Nothobranchius furzeri: one gene and its partners. The protein of the gene in region 1 binds, or shares a complex with, the protein of each later gene. Links are inferred from orthologs where the notes say so. Each region holds a gene or a part of one and is shown on either strand. Other genes may lie near its edges.

What was found.
Region 2: the proteins of unconventional myosin-Va (region 1) and spire2 are in contact, whole or in part, in a crystal structure (PDB 5JCY), measured with the Homo sapiens proteins. The link is inferred for Nothobranchius furzeri from reciprocal best matches to the Homo sapiens genes MYO5A and SPIRE2. Residues at the interface, in NP_001369276.1 of Homo sapiens: Asp1551, Val1554, Arg1555, Thr1559, Ile1562, Asn1563, Lys1566, Ser1597, Gly1598, Leu1615, Thr1616, Asn1617, Phe1618, Asp1619, Leu1620, Ala1621, Glu1622, Tyr1623, Val1626, Asp1629, Leu1630, Gln1633; in NP_115827.1 of Homo sapiens: Arg404, Pro405, Arg406, Val407, Leu408, Leu409, Lys410, Ala411, Pro412, Thr413, Leu414, Met417, Glu418, Met420.
Region 3: the proteins of unconventional myosin-Va (region 1) and rab11a are in contact, whole or in part, in a crystal structure (PDB 5JCZ), measured with the Homo sapiens proteins. The link is inferred for Nothobranchius furzeri from reciprocal best matches to the Homo sapiens genes MYO5A and RAB11A. Residues at the interface, in NP_001369276.1 of Homo sapiens: Ile1660, Gln1661, Trp1738, Met1742, Arg1745, Tyr1746, Ser1749, Gln1750, Glu1753, Arg1756, Gln1777, Gln1780, Val1781, Lys1782, Lys1784, Met1795, Glu1818; in NP_004654.1 of Homo sapiens: Arg33, Glu35, Ile44, Gly45, Val46, Glu47, Phe48, Ala49, Thr50, Gln63, Trp65, Gln70, Tyr73, Ala75, Ile76, Ala79, Arg82.

The regions. Positions count from the first base shown.
Region 1 is NC_091744.1:64,486,671-64,490,320, forward strand, and holds part of unconventional myosin-Va, read left to right. Parts: intron 1-1,316; coding exon 1,317-1,445; intron 1,446-1,553; coding exon 1,554-1,610; intron 1,611-1,700; coding exon 1,701-1,928; intron 1,929-2,058; coding exon 2,059-2,126; intron 2,127-2,571; coding exon 2,572-2,646; intron 2,647-2,728; coding exon 2,729-2,927; intron 2,928-3,009; coding exon 3,010-3,103; intron 3,104-3,178; coding exon 3,179-3,322; intron 3,323-3,402; coding exon 3,403-3,557; intron 3,558-3,637; coding exon 3,638-3,650. UniProt on the Homo sapiens protein: Processive actin-based motor that can move in large steps approximating the 36-nm pseudo-repeat of the actin filament. Can hydrolyze ATP in the presence of actin, which is essential for its function as a motor protein. Involved in melanosome transport.
Region 2 is NC_091744.1:86,274,376-86,278,791, forward strand, and holds the start of spire2 (protein spire homolog 2), read left to right. Parts: upstream 1-1,564; 5' UTR 1,565-1,763; coding exon 1,764-2,061; intron 2,062-4,416. UniProt on the Homo sapiens protein: Acts as an actin nucleation factor, remains associated with the slow-growing pointed end of the new filament.
Region 3 is NC_091749.1:66,753,664-66,757,313, forward strand, and holds the end of rab11a (ras-related protein Rab-11A), read right to left. Parts: intron 2,572-3,650; coding exon 2,435-2,571; 3' UTR 280-2,434; downstream 1-279. UniProt on the Homo sapiens protein: The small GTPases Rab are key regulators of intracellular membrane trafficking, from the formation of transport vesicles to their fusion with membranes.

The DNA of each region.
Region 1 (3,650 bases):
GACCGAAAGCGTCGGACCATCTAGTTGGCCGGTCTCGCCGAACCACTGCACTTCCTCCATTCCCAGGGTTTTCCATTCGTCACACACAAGCGTTTTTGCAACAGAACACCACTGGTGTGAAAGGTTATCAGCTCACATCAGAAAATGAGAAACAGCCGGCTGCTACCACTTTAGGACAAACTACCAGAGTCCCAAAAAGAAGGATGCCGTCTGTTTGTCACGTTAAAAAAGACATCTAGATCTAGAAAATGGGTACTGGTGTTTAGCACTAGTTTCCTCTGGTAATGTGGGTGTCTGGTTCTGGAAGAAGTGTCTTAGGGAAGATGCCTGAGGGGAGGGGGTGTAACGTGACTATGTTTGCGTTTAAAATCTAGCTTGTTCAGTAGATTTGCTATAGCAGCTTTAAAGTAACACTGAGCGGTTTCCTGCTCCTCTGCCCTACAGGTTGAAAGGGGAATTACAGCTGTTCACAACCTTGCTGCAACCTGCTGTAGCTAGTGCTAACAATGAGCAAACACTAACACGAGACAACTAATACTAAAATAAACCACAAAGTAAAACGATCCACACTGTTGGACAATAAACATTATTACTTACAATTCCAGTAGCAACAAAGCCAGGTCACTATCAGCCCTTGATTTTGTAGCCTCCTTTAGCTCCCTCAAACTAGTGTAGGCTGTGCTGATCTTCACTCTGGTTTTAGCTCTTTGATTTGCCTCCAAAGACATTACTCTCTTACTTCCAGGCTCTGCCATGATGGTAACAAAACAGCAAACATCTTTTTTTCTATTGAGGATTTGCAAACTGAAAAAGCTAACTGCTGCTAACTGCTAGCATACCAGCTAACAGCTGTAAAACAGGTAAAAAACGCCCCCAGGACACTCACCTGCTTCACAAAACTGTTAAGTGCAGTATCTGGCCAATAGAGGGTGACAGAGTTGTGTCAAATATGAAAATGGTCAAGTTTCTAACTCAATAATCATGTTAAAGCTCTAGCTTAAAGTCTAATAACTAGCTAGTGTTTAACTTATTTTCTCAGAGTTGCACCATTGCAATTAGAATACTGTCTTCTCAGAGCAGCAAGATAGGCTATCAATGTCCACATATAAGAGTAGAATTAAAACTCAGTGGTTACTACAACACCTATGAATGCATTATCTAATCTTATAAGCATGGATTACCTCCCATTACAAACAATACATTATAGGCTACAGAAATAATTTCTTGTCTCAAATGGAGACCAAAAACATTGTTCTTTCCTCCAAACAGATACTAAAACAGAATTGTATTAACTGATGTTTTCTGTGTTTTTTCAGGATGAAAGCATGTCTAAAGTGGACCTGCCAATCCTCCTCAAGCTTCAGAGAAGGGTAAAGGAACTAGAGGAGGAAAATCGATCACTTTGGCAGCAGCTGGATAAAAGAGAAGAAGCTCAACAGGAAAAGGCAAAAATTACAAACACCTGGGTTTTTTTTGCTGTAAAAACATTAAATGTTATGAATCTGTTTTTAGTTTTTAAAACTAAAAATTGGGTCATTGTCTGTTTTAAACAGGAGGTGGAGGAGCAAAAAACTGTTGGCACAACAGAACTGGACTTAGAAAAGATAAAGGTGAGACTTAAACAGCTGTTTACCATTAGAGATAACTTATCTGTGTCAACATGCTAAAAATGTCAAAAATGAAACCATTTCTTAATGCAGCGACACGAACTTGAGTCTGAGAACAAGAAACTGAAACAGGATCTAAATGAGCTTCGAAAGTCCCTCACCAGTGAGACCAGGGAGTTAGCACCTCCTGCTCCTGGTTCAGCGCCCTACAACCTTTTACTAGAGCAGCTCAATTCCTCCAATGAGGAGCTGGAGATGAGAAAAGAGGAGGTGCTGCTCCTCCGCTCACACATGGTCCGTCAAGAAGCTCTAAAACACAGGGTAAGAAAAAAAACAATCACATCTGCTTTAGTTTTTAATTTTTCTGAAAGAAATTACTGTTTGTGCTAAAATCTTCTGATAAATTAGACAATTACAGAGATGTTGATATAATTTTGTATTTTATGTCTAGGATTCTGTATTTAGAGAAGGTGTGAAGTTGGAACTGAATGAAATTCCTTCATTGCAGGATCATGAAAGGTGGGAAACTTGGTTTTAATTTTATTCCACTTGCTAGTGTTTTTTAAATTGCATTCTTGCGAGACGATCTTGATTATTGTTTAAATTATGCAACTTTCTGTACTTAAATGTTTCTATTTAGAATTTGATATTTTACTTCAGTGTCTATGGGTATGACATTATAACCAAATAGTTAAAACAATTGGTCTTCATTTTTGAGAGACAGAAAAAGCATGTGAAAGCCTCAAACTTGTCAGTAGCTTTTTAAACTCCCAACTAAATGTATAAACTGAAACAAGTAGATGTTTACATGGTGACATTTTCTCACAATGACACAATGCTCTGATTTTAAAGACGGCTTTTAAAAATGTTTTAGCTGCTCATCAGTTTGACGCTCCAGTTTCAGACATTTTTAACTTTTTCATCAGAGACTAGTGTGTTTGTGTTCATGTTCTGTTTGCTCTAGGTCCTCTAACATTCATACACTGAATGAAGATGGAGAGCTGTGGTTGGCTTATGAGGGTTTGAAAGAGACAAACAGGTATTGGTGTAGTGTTCTGTATTTAATGTGTTTAAACATATTCATGTTATGGGGACCTGAACCTTTAGCTTTCGTCCTGCAGACTTCTGGAGTGTCAGATGCAGGAGCAGGAGCGTCTTCACAATGAATCAAACGGGAAGCTTGTGGAGGAGATGAACAAACTGAGGGCTGAGAAGGAGCAGCAGCAGAAGCTGTTGGATCAAAGCCTCCTTCTGCCCGAGGACGCCCGGGTCGATGCAGCCCTGAAGCACGAGATCACACGTCTCACCTCTGAGAACCTGGTGGGTCTGGTCTACTGGGGTTTTATATCCAGGTCTTTTCAAAAAATGTGTATAAATAACTTTTTTTCTTGAATAATTTCAGGAACGAATGGAGCAACAGGAACATCAGGACAAAATCGTACGCAAATTAAAAAAACAGCTTAAATTGTACATGAAGAAGGTGGAAGAATATGAAGGTAATTCAGTGAAACTACATTTCTAGAGTCGTCGTGTTTTTGATGAAGACGCATCATTAATCCTGTTATTTTTAGCGAGTTCTCAGCAGATGAATACTTCCTCTGTGATGAGCACTCCCATCAGGCCGGTGAACATTCCCCGTAAGGAGAAGGAGTTCCAGGGTATGTTGGAGTTCAAGGAAGGAGACACAACCCGCTTGTTCAAGAATCTGATCATAGGTCAGTTTGTTTATAAATAACACACAACAATTAAAGTAGTTAGACTTTTTTTTACCCACTCAGTTTCTTTCTCTTCTCAGATCTGAAGCCTCGTGGTGCAGCAGTCAACTTTACCCCAGGGCTTCCTGCCTACATCCTCTTCATGTGCCTCCGTTATGTAGACAATGTGAATGACGACAAGAGAGTCATCTCTCTCCTGAACTCCACCATCAGCAGCATCAAAGGGGTCATAAAGGTGCAGGTTTTAGCTTTGGTCTTGCTATATAAAAGGACCCGTGTGCTTGTTATGTTCTGATCTCTAAACCTTTTCTACAGAGGAAAGGAAACG
Region 2 (4,416 bases), about 22 Mb from region 1:
GTTGTTTTTCCTCGGGAAGTGAAATTCCGCGTGTCACTTTGAAATAAAACTAGATTGTCATTACTTCTCAGAGCTTCATCAGCGGCTGCAATGGAATGAGACTGTGCCAGCTTCTGCAGCTTTGGCTTTGTGGTTTCTTTAAATACGCACATTTGAAATGTGTTTATTTTCCCTTATTCATAAGGAGTATATTAACAAATCAACCACTCTAAGAAAGAAATGTATTTTTTGCGATTTTTATTTAATTTGTTTGGTGCAAAAGTGGGTTATAATGTATTGTCAATTTATAATATTTTAAAAATATCTTGATATTAAGGTAATAAAATGTGTGATAATAAATTATATTGTTTCATTCAAACTCCTGCATAGGCTATGAATTATAATTTAAATAGTTTAGCTGATTTTTGTTTGTAATTTTTGTCACTTTAGTGCTGTCACGTTCTGATTAGGAGGAGTAGGACCCAATATGCAGAGCACCAGACGATATGAGGCAGGAGTTGATATAAAGTAAAAAATCCTTTTATTGTAGGATGAACCAAAATAAATCCAGAGGCATGGAGCCCAAAATCCAGAAATCCAAAAGCAGGAGAACAAAAGCTCAATTAGAGCACAAACTGGGGACTAGACAGGAAGCTCACACAGAGCACCAAAGAACAACGCTGACAAACAACAATGGACCGACAAGAACAATGAGACAATGAGGGCTTATATAGACTGGGAGGAGCAATTAGGGAAACAGGAAGCAGGTGTGTGGAGTGAGGCTGGAGGGAAGGCAGGTGACAACAGTTATCTGGATGGGGAAGAGAACCAGTGGAGGGCAGATAAACCTGACACTATATAAAACACAAAACTAAACCTAAAGACTAAGGGAAGGGCTCACACAAACACATACTGACACACACAAACTCATACACACGTACAATGAACTGGGGAACAAAAGGCTGGGGCTACAACTTAAGACACACAACAGAGATGCAGACAAAGAACACATGAGGGCGCTATGAGAACACAAAAGGAGAACCTGGAGTGGGAACTGGAGGAGCTGGGGAACAAAGGGACACAGAACATGACAAGTGCGTGCCTACATACAAATAAGCTCAACCAAGATGGCCAATCATTTCCCTTATCCTGGGAAACGATAGCCGGTGGACAGGTTTTTTCCTTCCCCTGAAGACCTGTCTGTTGAAATGGTTTTACAGAGCAGCTCTGACAAAAATCCAGAAATCATGAGCTAGGATTGTCTCTCTGACAGAAGCAAAAAGCAACAAGCGTCTTCCTTTTAAAAAGTTTTTACTCACTCATTTCAATTCACAAACCGAAAACACAATAAATAAATTAATTAAAATATAAATAATTAAGTAAGTAAATTTACTTTAAACTGCCGACATCTTTTTTCTTTATTTGTGAAGTTGTCTGATAACAAGACTCTTATATATATATATATATATATATATATATATATATATATATATATATATATATATATATATATATATATATATTGTATTTTAAAGAACATTTTCCAAAACGCCATGGAGTCATATGGGATCTAGTTATGGTTTGACATTTATTTTGTAACTTCACATCGCCTGCTGTTTTATTTTTGAAACCAGAAACCGGAAGTCCATGTTTCCGTCTGCTACCTTGACAACTTGTAACATAACGAGGCGCAGCTGCGGTACTCGAGACCGGGTCGAACAGCTCAGCACACAAATGGCCCCGGTGCTCGAGGAGTGAAGCATGGGCTCCGCGGCATCGCAGTCATGGCCGGATCCACCACCAGAACTACCGAGGACGGGGGTTCCCGTGTGACCGCCTCCACGGACCGCGCGGAGGTTCGGGACCTGGCCGAGCCCTGGGAGCTGTCCCTGGAGGAGGTGCTGAAGTCCTACGAGCAGCCCATCAACGAGGAGCAGGCATGGGCCGTGTGCTATCAGTGCTGCAGCGGACTCCGGGTGCCCCGCCCGCCGCCCGGGAGAGCCAGCCGGGTGAAGGACCCGTCCGCCATCCTCCTCCACAGAGATGGGACCGTTTCGTTACGGGAGGAACCCCGACGCGACGGTAGGACGGTTGCTCCAACTTCTCTCAGCTTTGATTGGTCTAAAAGCAAAGGTTTAATTCAACAGCGCTAGCTTCTTTTGTAAGTTTTCGCTTCAACTTTGACGTGTGCTAAACATGAAAGCTCACGTTTCTATTCGGCAAAGATCAACAACAAATGATCAGCTTGGTTTTATCTCAGGAACGAGTTTCCTTCAGCTACATCTACTGTTTCTGTGTGCCAGTTTCACTCTTTTAAAAGTGAACCGAGCTGTCAGGCTCAATGATATTAATGCGGAATTGAAGGGTCACTATCAGTGTCTCGAAAATACTTCAAATCCTGGTTAGTTTTTCAACAAGCTCAAAGTAAAAGCTGTTTCTTATTAAATTAAATAAATCCCACGTTGGGTTTGGCAGAGATGAACTAGAACTCCAGCGTCCTGCTGCATCCAGACCAACTTGGGTTTATTTACTGGGATTTTTTTTTTGAATAGGAGCACAGTTATTTTTACACAGAACATCTTTGTATCCGTTGATATAAATCGGTGTCTCCCTTCCAATGCCAGAGATGCCGGTAAATGATCAATTATTCAGAGGACAGCTTTAGCTGTGCTGGTGCAAGGACTGTTTTGGAGACTTCAAAGGATGAATGGAAGCCCAAAGGATTTCATGTAGTCTTCTTTTTATTTTATTGAATTCTCCATGACTGTACCATAAAAATCCTCCTGCGTTTGGATTGTTCATGACTCACTGCAGTCCTGGAACCTGCTTTATTTTTTATACTTGAGGACAAACTAGATGTGTCTTCAAATTGTGGCGCACTTATATCCACTTTTACTGCCTTAGGTGACTAATGTCTTAATTCCCTGAATCATTTTCTTTCTGTATTTTATTGTATAGTTGTAAATGTTTGAAGTATTTTTAATTGTGGTGTTGCCTCAGTAAAAACTTCAATTTTTGTCTTATTGACAAGTAGTCATAATAACTGGGTTTGTAGCGCCAAAGTCAGATTCACATTTAAGAATAAACATGTAGATTGTTATGATGATGCAAATTTTCCTCCCAAACTGGATCATAAATCAGAAAAATGCATTCCTTAAATAAATCCTAAACCATTTATATGCTTTAAAAATGTGAAGTCTTTGACATAACCCCATTAATTTATTAATTTTCTTTTAAGTCAGCTGTACATTCCTTGTTTTTCAAAAGAATTTTATTTCTTATTTTAGAGAGCTGAAACCAGAGGGGAGCAGGTGTGCTGGGATGAATACATTTGGGGAGCATTGTCTCCTTGGTGATGCTGTTTATTTATTTTTTATTCTTGTATTTTTTATGCTATTAGTTGAATATAATGTAGATTCTCTGTGATTTAGGGCACGGAAAATAGGATTTAATTCAGGAGAACTAGACTTTCGTGGTTTTTGGGATGCTCTCTTTAGAAAGGCAATATTAAAAGCAGCAACAGGATATTTTCTTTTCCTTTTCGCAGTTCATTTAATCTTAGAAGGACGCCTTTTGCACAGCTGAGGAAGAATAACAAATAATCAAATACTTTTAATGATGCAGAAAATAATCCACAGGTAAACTGAACCTTGCTGTGCAGGAATCAAATGAACGAAACACATTTTATTAGTCAGACAGATGAAATATTTAACAATTAAAACAGCATTCCAGCTGTCCAGGTTTCCTTTTTCCCATCGTCAGTCTGCTGTGAAATCACACATGACTGACCGTAAACACAGGCAGCTTTCGGATGCTGCTGACATCAGCTGTTCCACCGACTCTCCCTGCGAAGAGCACAAATCTGAGCGGAAACAGCCGCTGTAACGTGAACAAAGTGGAGGTGCTGCAGGAAGCTCCTCTGAGGACGAGCTGTTACGATGCCTTCATGAGAAGTGTTCATCAGCCCTCCACCATCTGGACCGCTCATCTTTTTCTGAATTTCATGGACAATCTTTATTTATTTATTTTTTGTGGCCAAAAGTACATTTGTGTTGGCAGATATTTTTGGTGACAGCTCATAACTCCTTCATTGATCCGCTCAAATGTTGAAACCAGTGTTCGGAGGAAGTGGATCCATCTTCTAGAAAATGTCTAAGACCTTTTTTAGAATCCAGGCTCCAAAACATTGGCTCATTTTCTAAAATCAATATTCATTTAATCCTTTTGCAATCATTTCAACACAACATTTCAATGAAATCTGTGTGATCTCCTGTTTTAACTCTGTAAGAGGACAGTAGTGCTTGTGCGGCGTGTGCAGGACTTTACGCCTTCTTAATACATTTATGACAGGTTATCTAATGGAAAAGTATCAAACTGCATTTATGACATCCTCACCGGTGCCCAAACCACCTCAACAGGCTCATTTTGATGTGGAGG
Region 3 (3,650 bases), on another chromosome or scaffold:
CCATCAGTACCACCTGAGCTTGGTTTCAACGCCACAGCCTACCTGAGTCTTGTTGGTGACCATGTCCATCCCTTTGACCACATGGACCCATCTTCTACTTCCAGCAGGATCATGCACCATGTCACAAAGTTCACATCTTCCCCAACTGGTTTCTAGAACATGACCATGAGTTCACAGGTCTCCCAACGACCTTCAGATCTCAGACCAGTCCAGAACCTTTGGGACGTGGTGGCACCTCTAAACTTGGAACTTGGTGTTTAACAGGAAGTGAAAGTCTGCTGGTTTATGACTGGTGAGCTTTATTAAGATAAACTGATAACTTAAGTTATTGACACATTGTACAATTCATCGATCTGTACAAACATAAAAGCGTTGGTTTGGACCCATTTGGACCCGTTCTCACATTAACCTCCAACTAGGTGAAATGACATCATTTCATTACAGTCAGTTACAGAATCAACCAGATAAAAATCAAAACACTTCTTTAAAAAACAACAATGGAATCAACTGATCTGGATCAGAACTCATTCTCTGTCAACCAGCTGCTGGTTCTGGAGAGGTCAGGCTGGCGGTGCTGCGGGTCCAAACAACCAGCCAGGCTCACAAACTCCAGAGCTACCCTCTGTAACTAAACACAAACACTCAGGGGTTTGAGACATTAGCGAGGCATCGGTTTACAGACCGGACCGAACCGGGTCGGGTTGGACCGTGCACGGTTCTGACTACTTGATGACTGAATGACTATGTAAGGCGATATGAGGTGGAGCCGTGCGCTGTGTGGAAGTCAGAGGCAGCTCGGTGTATGTAGGCTTTATGTGACGGCACACGAGGATCGGGTCGGATCAGAACATGTGGGTCGATGGCGGCCAAGCAGCAGGAGGTACTGCGAATCAGCTCGACCGATTCCTCTAGTCTGGTTCTAAAACAGTGGTTCTGGTTCTGCTAAAAAATCTAATCTTTGACCAGAACAAAGTTACAGATGTTTAGTGCAGGAATCGGACCTCCGCGTGGGTCAGTCTTTATCTTTGCAAGCCAGCGGTTCTGTGGGTCAGAGGAATGTCATGAAGGGATTCACCTGTTCTGTTTAGGGTGGGATCAGAAACCCAATCAGGTCTGCTTTAGATCTGTGAAAATTAAATCGCTTTTGTTTGGGTTTCATCACATCTCAGCACAGGCATCGGAACCGGAACGTTCAGGAGTCCTGCCCTTGACCCAGATCCATGTCGTTTCCCAGCATGCAGTGCAGCAGAGCGATGGTCACTGCATGAGAAGCGGTGTATGGACAGCCGAAAAGGACAAAAATATACATATTCAAAAACGGCCCAAAAACTGTCCGATTTTAAAAATTGTTTTATTTTCATCAGATGTGTTTAATTATTTATCTTATTTATCTTTATATTTTGTGTTTATTTGTTCTGATTTCTGCTTTAATTTTATTCCCATTTCCTTTTGTGACGGAGTCTGTTCCTCAGAGCTGGCTCAGATCTCCTGACGAACAGAGATCCTGAAACGGAGCCAGAAAAGGACAGAAACACTTCCTGTTTAGCCTCTAAGCTACAAGGCTAGCTGCCTTGAGCTAAAATAACACAAAAGCTCCAAATCAGCTGTAGTTCTGACACCAGAACGGCCAACAGGCCTCGTCATATTTAAGCTCATGAAAATATAAAAGATAGGAGAAAATGAAAGAAAACATCAGATTTTCAAAAGTGCAATAATTTACTTAAAAGGTAAATTAAAAACAAAATACGGAAACAAATAAGAGCTCTAAATACACTGATAACAGAATGAAGTTTAAATTCATACAGAAGCATCGATAAACATTAATACTGTTTTGAGCCTTTTAAATGTATTTTTTATTGATTTTTGTCCATTTCAGGCCTCCGTAGACACCTGATGCAGAGGTGATGATAAAACCGAGTCACGCCCAAAGCGAACAGAATCACAGACATCAGATCGAACGGCGCTCGTGCGCTCGATACATCCACGTGGTTTCCAGACAGTACATTGCACTATAGGAGGGGGCGGGGCTATAATGACAGGAGACGAGTGGACAGAGGACTATGCTTCAGAGCGAATTCGATGTGCTTCAGATTTATATATTTATATATAGTAAGAAGATACGAGACGAGTCATTAAAAAAGTGGAGGAATGAAGGAGGGGAGCTAATCACATTCAGACGTTTCTGAGACGAGTCAGCGCTTCTACAGGAAGGAGATCTAACGAGGGAGGAAACGCCTGCTGTCCTGCAGTAGCCTAAAGACATGGGGCTTTGCTGGGGGGGGGGCACTTAGTCTTACAATGGGGGTGGGTGGTTAACTAAGGTGGGGCAGGTAGAGTTCAGGTTGCAGGTTTGACTCTGCGGTTTGATGTTTCCATACCGAAGCAGTCTGTTCTCTGGGGATGGGGCGGGGGTAGCAGCAGGTCCACGGCGGCGCTAGATGTTCTGACAGCACTGCATCTTTGGTTTGTTTTCAGTGGGCTGCACCTGGATGTTGACCACGTTGTTGCTAGGCGACATGTCGCTCTCCTGGCGCTCAGACATCTGCTTCTGGGACACAATGCGGTAAATCTCTGGAGGAGAAGAAGATTCAATCAGGAAGTTTCAGAAACATCTTCTGATCAGACTTTTAAAATGAAACTCCAGGTTGCCTCAAGTAGGCGTCACCAACTCCCGTCCTCGAGGGCTACCATCCCTGCGTTTCCTGCTCTACCAAAGGTGTCATCCGCATATAAATGTATATGAGAACAGGGTTTGGCATCGAGCATCGATTGGAACCGGTTCTAACTGTTAGTTTTTCCCGGAATCGTTTTTCTTTTTGATTCCTAGAATGCAGACGGAAGAGGAATCCGTGGCCTTTCTCCGTGAAAAATAAACGTGATCTGCAATTTGTGATCAACGCTTTTCAGAGCTGATCACACCAGCTGTCTGTGTGCAGCACCGAGCCCCCCGTACAATAACCTGTAGAATAATTAAAGTCATCATGCTAGAAAAGCTTCTCTGTGGTGGACCACACCAGCTTCTGCCACAATAAATAGTTATAATAATAATAAATAACATTTTTTATTTCCTTTTTGAACTATTTCTGTTGAGAGTTTTAATGTTTAAAATCTGTTAGATTGTTACTGACAGCAGCTACATTTAAGTTTCTGCTCTGACTGAATGCTGCTGCAGGTAGGAAAACAGCTGGACGTTTCTGGAGACATTTAGCCTCTCATCCCAGAGGCTTCTTCCAGACTTTGGTTGTGGTCAGAAACAAACACACTGGTTGTGCTGCAAGTCTTTTGGGGGCGACGGTGGCACAGGAGTTAAGTGCTCGCCCCGTAATCGGAAGGTTGCAGGTTCGAGCCCCGCTCAGTCTGTCACTGTCGTTGTGTCCTTGGGCAAGACACTTAACCCACGTTGCCTGCTGGTGGTGGTCGGAGGGACCGGTGGCGCCTGTGCTCGGCAGCCTCGCCTCTGTCAGTGCGCCCCAGGGCAGCTGTGGCTACATTGTAGCTCATCCCCACCAGTGTGTGAATGTGTGTGTGAATGGGTGAATGACTGATTGGTTGTAAAGCGCTTTGGGGCGTTCCAGGACTCTAAAAGGCACTGTATCAAATACAGGCCATTTACCATTTTTTTCTCTAAAACATGTTTTTGTCTAAATGAA